2 linked regions of the Nothobranchius furzeri genome follow. The protein of the gene in region 2 purifies or fractionates together with the protein of the main gene of each other region. This does not show direct contact. Links are inferred from orthologs where the notes say so. Each region holds a gene or a part of one and is shown on either strand. Other genes may lie near its edges.

What was found.
Region 1: the proteins of transducin-like enhancer protein 1 (region 2) and her6 purify together in Homo sapiens (affinity purification with western blotting; 4 studies listed by BioGRID and IntAct, with this or other methods). This does not show direct contact. The link is inferred for Nothobranchius furzeri from reciprocal best matches to the Homo sapiens genes TLE1 and HES1.

What each region holds. Positions count from the first base shown.
Region 1 is NC_091748.1:61,413,090-61,416,694, forward strand, and holds her6 (hairy-related 6), read left to right. Parts: upstream 1-1,506; 5' UTR 1,507-1,665; coding exon 1,666-1,773; intron 1,774-1,897; coding exon 1,898-1,993; intron 1,994-2,080; coding exon 2,081-2,168; intron 2,169-2,278; coding exon 2,279-2,820; 3' UTR 2,821-2,919; downstream 2,920-3,605. UniProt on the Homo sapiens protein: Transcriptional repressor of genes that require a bHLH protein for their transcription. May act as a negative regulator of myogenesis by inhibiting the functions of MYOD1 and ASH1.
Region 2 is NC_091757.1:48,842,938-48,846,759, forward strand, and holds part of transducin-like enhancer protein 1, read right to left. Parts: intron 2,031-3,822; coding exon 1,968-2,030; intron 1,869-1,967; coding exon 1,764-1,868; intron 1-1,763. UniProt on the Homo sapiens protein: Transcriptional corepressor that binds to a number of transcription factors. Inhibits NF-kappa-B-regulated gene expression. Inhibits the transcriptional activation mediated by FOXA2, and by CTNNB1 and TCF family members in Wnt signaling.

The sequences.
Region 1 (3,605 bases), on a different chromosome or scaffold from region 2:
TTAAAACCTCCTCTTTGCTCCCTCGACTATCTGATGTGCAGACCTGCAGGGTTGTCCATCAAATTCACGATCCTGCGGCCAACCGCTGGCGACGCCCCGCAGATCCAGGCGGCAGGCCGGCGAGAGGAGCGCCTTCCCCTGGTCGCCTGCGCGCCACGTGTCCGCGGTCTCTGCACCAGCTGGAGTTGTGTGCGCAACGGAAAACCACGACGCGCTCCGATTTAAAAACATGAAGTCATTTACCTATTAAAGAAGCGCTTTTCCTCATTTGCATACACACACACATCATGCAAGCAAACTTTTAAGGAAGACAAACCCATTTCATTATAGTTGAAAAAAGTTTTTAAAGGTTTAATTATCACCTCGAATACACTATAAACCCCACATGATCCATAAATCTATGGAGGCTATCAGACAGCGGATTTTATAGGCATCCGTGTTTGTGAGTGTTGCACAACCTGAAGAGTGGAGCTGCTGCTCCAATAAACCCTCACGAGGCGATTGTTGACATTATTTCACTCTTTGTGTTCATCTGCTCTTACGTCCATCTAAGAACAATAAAGATAAGGAAAAGAAATTATGACCTGATATCTAAAGCCTTGAACGCTGTGAGGCAGCCACGGGCGGGAATGATGCGGGGGCAGGCTTCGGTGTGAGCTCTGCAGGCTCACAAATATCTCCGCTCTGGCTCACATTCCGATAAGGGAGCCCGATCCAGCTCCCTCAGTGGGCGTGGTTTTCCCAGGCTTTTAAAACAGCAGCTGCTATTTACCTTCCCCTCTAATGTAAACCACCGCCGCCGCCACCACACAGCCTCCCTCGCCCCCATACGCAGCCCGGTGGCCCCCCGGCAGCCCGGCGGCCAAACCTCCAACCATCGCGGGCTCATAAAACATCCTGGCACGTGCTCCACACTTACAACACCGACGGATGATTAAGTGGTAAATGTTGTACCACAGACTTTAAAGATGTAGTGTGGAAAGGAAGTGTGCACTTAAAAAGGGGTTTCTCCTGATTCATCCTCTCATGTCCCCCCGTGCTTTAAACGTCACAATTCTCGTGCCTTAAGTTAAAATAAAACAATTCCCGACACGTGTCCAAGAAGTTGTCAATTATACGTGGAGTAAAAATGAGATTTATTGATGGTGCGCATTGACTTTTCGCAGCTATTTGGTGTCTGGCAGATGGGAAGTCCCCGTGCCTGCTCCTGACAGCGGTGCCCAGTCAGCGGCTCCGCAGCTAATGTGTAAACGCTCCGATGATTGAAGGCTGCAGACAGTTTCCCCGGCTGCGCCCTGAACCCGCCAGCTCCAGCGGCCAAACAACCAATGGGAGGGCGCCGACCACGAGCCGTCCTCCCTCGGGCCGCGTGTCCCTCGCCCTGATTGGTTGAAAGTTACTGTGGGAAAGAAAGTTTGGGAAGTTTCACACGAGCCGCTCGCGTGCGGTGCCAGATATAAATACAAGGCACACGCGGAGAGCCCAACAGAGAGGCTGCATCCGCTCCCGGTAGCAGACGCCGCTGCGCATCGCTCCTTAACGGACCCACACGGTACACATCTCAGGATTCCTTTTGGGACTTTTGAAGATCTCATCATACTTTTTCACACACACGTGGATCATATTTTTGCTGTAGCACTGGGATATTTCTAATCAGCGACGAAGATGCCTGCCGACATGATGGAAAAGTCTTCATCCTCTCCGGTTGCTGCGACCCCGGCAAGCATGAACACTACTCCTGATAAACCCAAGACAGCATCTGAACATAGAAAGGTGCGTATTGGTGTAAAACCTGCCATCAGAGTCGGGATGATCGCAACATCCCTTAGATTATTTATTTTTGGTCGCGCTCTGAGCTTCGCGCCTGGTTCTAACAGTCTGTTGGTTTTACTTCCAGTCATCAAAGCCAATTATGGAAAAGAGAAGAAGAGCCAGAATAAACGAGAGCTTGGGTCAGCTGAAAACTCTGATTCTGGATGCTCTGAAAAAAGATGTAAGTTGTTAGCAGATCTCCGGGCTATCAGTGTCAGACTGAAAGTGAGCGCGTAATATTAACCAGGTGTGTTTTCCGTCCCCTCAGAGCTCCAGACACTCCAAACTGGAGAAGGCGGACATCCTGGAGATGACAGTTAAACATCTCCGGAACCTCCAGAGGGCTCAGATGACCGGTAAGTTTAATTTTACAACCTGATCTCGCATTGCGCGCTTTGAAATGAGCCAGAAAGCCTGGATGTTCTTTCAACACTGACTTATAAAATACCTTTCTGTCTCCCTGCAGCTGCGCTGAACACTGACCCCACCGTTTTGGGAAAATATCGCGCAGGATTCAGTGAATGCATGAACGAAGTCACGCGCTTTCTGTCCACCTGCGAAGGTGTGAACACTGAGGTCAGGACGCGCCTCCTCGGCCACTTGGCCAGTTGCATGACCCAGATCAACGCCATGAACTTTCCCAGCCAGCATCAGCACCAGCATCAGCTCCCATCCAACGCGGGGCCAACACACCCCTCCTTCGGTCAGTCCATGGTGCAGATCCCCAGCTCATCCCCGCAGGTCATGCCCATGAACCCGGGGTCCTGTAAAGGGGGCTCCTCGCCGGCCAGTTTACCTCCAGATGCCACCAAAGTGTACGGCGGCTTTCAGATCGTACCTGCCACTGACGGACAATTCGCTTTCCTAATCCCCAACGCGGCTTTTGCATCAAACGGCCCAATCATCCCGGTTTACGCAAACAACGTCAGCACGCCGGTGCCTGTTCCGGCTGCGGTGTCCCCCGGAGCTCCCTCAGGCAACTCGGACTCGGTGTGGCGGCCGTGGTGAAAGGACCACAATAAAGACTCTGACACTATTAGTTTGATGAACTCTAGAAAAGTTGTTTTTTTCCTGTAAAAATAAAGAGTATGCACTATATGTGTACAGCTAAGACGGAGTAAAGTTCATATTGAAATGGGATTTGTTTTGTTTAAGTCCGCTCACTGCATTTTATATATAAATAGGCTATATTTGAGGTTTTGTTTTCTTTTTTTACTGTGTGGCGCCAAAGAAATGTTTAATGCCCTTACGCTGTTCTTCGTTTTGGAAGACAAAATAAATTTGTTTAAAAAAAACTTGTAAAACAAATTTGTGCTGCTTGTTGGAGTTGGTCTCAGTGCGTCAAATTCATCATCACATTTCCGAATATCTTCATTAAACAAGTAAATGTTTTTGTGCTTAAAGTAAAGGAAACAACAGCTGCTTTACTATAACAACAATGATCTAAATTAGAAGTAATCGTGTGAGGATTATTTGGTTAATTGAGAAGGTTTTAAAATCCACACAGAAGCGCAATGATGCAATAGTCTAAACTGAAATGAAAAACTATTAATGAGCTTCCACAGAAACATTTTTATCTCAGAGTGTTAAACGTTTTCAGAAGTTTTAAGTTTATAAACAAGTGAAAGACGTCCGTGTGGCGTGAGATGATCAGTTTTTTTTGCACTGATTCACCAGACCTTACTTTTACCTTTACAGAGGTGACGCGCGCCATCTAGCAGCAGGAAACCACATTGCAGTCTGATTGATGGTGCAGGATTTACAGCAGGCGTTGCTGCTGTCATCAAGCTTGA
Region 2 (3,822 bases):
TAATTGACTAACCCACCCCACCCCCTGAGCTTCCACCTTCTTTTTTCCTCTCTATCCATCCTTCACTCCCTACCTCCACCCCAGTGAATGAGAGCATAACAACTAAACAGTCTTCTAGCCCCCACAGCTGCCTGATGCACGATTTTAACAGTTGGCATGCATGCCAAAAAATGAAACACAAACACACCCACACATCACACTTGAGTGCACTAACATGTATGTGCAGAGTGGAGATAAACAAGGCAGGCAAAAACACTCTCAGTCAACTAACCTACTGCTGCCTGCATGTTGTTTTCTGAGGATAACAGAAATGCACGCTCTGCTTCACACTAACGCACAATTACGTACACAAAGTTACACAAAAAGCACCCCCGACGGGAGTAAATGGAGGGGAAGCATTGGTGCAGACAAGAGGAGCCCAGTTTTGTCATTGGATGGTGTGTGTGTGTGTGTGTGTGTGTGTGTGTGTGTGTGTGTGTGTGTGTGTGTGTGTGTGTGTGTGTGTGTAGAGGCAGGGCAACATGCTTCATTACACTCATTTAACTCACAAACGGGGTGAATGACAGGCTGGCGTGGGAGATGAGGGGAGATGGCGGGGTGCGAGGGCAACGACGTGACCCCCCCATTACAAACACAAAAATCCTGCAATTAAGACCAAAAAGCAACTGCCAAATCCACCTCTCACCCCATTACACAAAAAAACAGACCCCCATCAGTCCACACCAACTAACAAGCCCACCCCACATCTAAGCCAACTACACTCTGATCCCACTAAAACCACAAATACCCCCTCCATCTTTCCCACATTTCTTTTAAACCTAAACTCACACCCCTCCACACACACACACCCACACACACACACCCTTTTGTAAGGGTCGATATTATTGTCAAATCCCACCTCAAGAGTCATCACCACCAAAAGATCAGCTCCCACTCCTAAAAGCTCTTTCTTGTGGTGAATAAATATCACCACCGTAGTCTGATGCTGTGTAGCGCAGGTATCTAGTTTGATACCTGTTCTATGATTAAACAGCTTGAAGCCAATTAGCTGGGCAGATCATTAAACTTCAGTTAAACAAAAATAAACAGATATATGTCCTTTCATTTCATCTCCTGTTTCTTTATACAAGACTGAAGAACAGAAAATGGTCATAATGTTTTTTGATTGTGCATTGTAAGAGTCTCAAAACAACTTAAGTGAAATTTCTACAGATTTTAAGAGATCAAGCAGAGGAAGACTGACTTAAAGAGTAAACATTAAGATACGGAGTTAAAAAGAGTAAGTATTTGTGCAGAGTACTTATGCAAATTTGTAAACCCTGTAGACAACGCCACATATCAACCCAGCCTTCGTTTGTTGTAGCAGCTACTTTATATTTTATTTAACTGCAATTTTTATGCAGGGATTTTTTTCATATGTGTTAATATTCTATTTTTAAGGTTTTTACTCCAGTCTTATTATTTGTGTCTATTTTAGTGACGGATCTTGCCATTTTCAACTGCCAATATTGAAATTAGCTAAACTCCATTTAAAGGTTTCTGAAAAAAATACAATATAATTGTATTCTTTCTATTAGACCATTGTTGGAATCCTATTAGCAAACTGGGAACTTTCAAATCTAGCAACAAAAGCCATCAAAACCACAATAACAGCTTCCAATTCCACACCAGATCAAAGGAGGGAAAAGCACGAGGCACTGAAACAAACACTGAGAATTGAGAATTAGTGTAAGCATTTAAAACAATGAGATAAAAATATGCACCGTAGGTGGAAGACCTGGCAGTCCACGTACCCCGATGACAGCATTAAGCTCTGCCATGGTCACCTGTTTGGCTCGCTCCACAGCTTGAACCACCTGCTGCTGATGCTGGAAAGCAGGCAGACATACAGAACCATGCATGAGACACAGATTTGTCAGGACAGAAAACAGTGTGTGTCTCACACACACACACACACACACACTTACCTCCTGTGAGAGGAAGGGAATGACTTGTGCACAGATGGTGTTTAGTCTCTTGGCAATCTCAGTCTGATGACAAAAGAGACACAGAGAGATAAAAAGAGACTCAGTTGCTAATAACATAATTGCATCCATTTACAAATGACAGCTGTTCAGTTACACCAATAAAGTAATACAAGCCACACACACACACACACACACACACACACACACACACACACACACACACACACACACACACACACACACACACACACACACACACACACACACACACACACACACACACACACACACACACACACACACACACACACACACACACACAAAATATCAGATGATGACACAACAACAAAACTCTTCCACTCTCTTTTGCACACGGATTCAATGTGAGGTCATTTCTAGCACTCGGTAAAATATGATTTCGCTCTCATTTTCAACAAGCTCTCGTCTTTTTTCTTTTCGATTTTCTCTAACTCTGCCTCTGTCCTGTGTGTTCTTGTCCTCCTTCCCATCAGCACTTCAATATAATCTAATCAACGACTAACTTCATTTGCTCTCCCCTCGTATCCATGCCAACACATCCGCCTGCCCCCCTAACCCCCCCGAGGTGGCTACAATTGGCTGAAACCAGATACCCCCTTGGTGGCATCAAATCAGATAAAGAATCTTGAGTTACACATCATCCAATCAAAAAAGATGCAAAGTCCCGCATGAGGAGAGAATCGGAGGAGCCATCAAACGAAGGAAAGGCTCAACATAAACCAACCCTTCAGCATAAATAGAAACACAAAAACATGCTGAATGAGAACCACCTTGTGAATGTATTAATTCTGTAAAAGTATTTTACATGAAGCAACACAACAGCATTGAAAAGTTTCTCAAAGCAAAACGTTTTTTAAGGATACAGTGTTCCAGCGGACTGATTTAGTTTGGTACAATCATAGAAACATGACCCGGGGGCCAGGAGGATCATTCTGACCGAATCGATCCAGACCCTAATGGCCTCAAATCAAAACAAGCAACATTAATCAACAAAGAAAATATTGAAATGGTTGGAAATTACATTTAAAACTTTAGGACTGAAATCATTTTGAAATGTTGTTTAACCAGTTAACTGAAATAAGAACTAGATGGGTCCTCATGATTGTGCGTTTTTTTTTACATGATTTAACTTCTACATATTATTTTATCAGCTCACAGACATGAATGTTTGATATGCCAAAAGTAAACACTTTCAAACAAAACTATTCAACAAACTTATCCTAAAAGTCCAGAAAAAAACACATCCACCAACCATCCAGTATTCAGAAACCCAGAATGGATTCCCGATGTCAGTCAAGTTACTTGTGATGTTCTGGACAAGAAGTCAGTTTAGCTTAATCACTTTACCACTCTAGAATATTAAAGACTTTGTTGTACTAATGTAACATGCTGACATTTACCCTCGACATGTAGAACAAACTACAAAAATTAAGAAAGTTATGAGCACTAGAGATGGAAGTTTAATATCAAATTCAATTCCAAACAATAAAAAAAAGCTAAAGAAAGTTGCTGAACCGTCAAAGAGTCACAAAGAGGCGGCAGCAGTAGCTCAGGAGGTAGAGCGGTGTGCCTCATGATCGGAGGGCCATGGGTTAGATTCCAGCTCCCACCAGGGGTATTTTGCTGTTGTGTCCTTGGGCAAGACACTTCACCCAACTTGCCCATGTTGGTGGTGGTCAGAGGGGTCAACGACACCAAATGGCAGCCTCGCTTCTGTCAGACCGCCTCGGCGGCTGTGGCTACGTAGAAGCTTACCATCACTGGCAGTGTGTGAATGTGAGAGTGCATGAAATAGTGTCCTAAAAGTGCTACATAA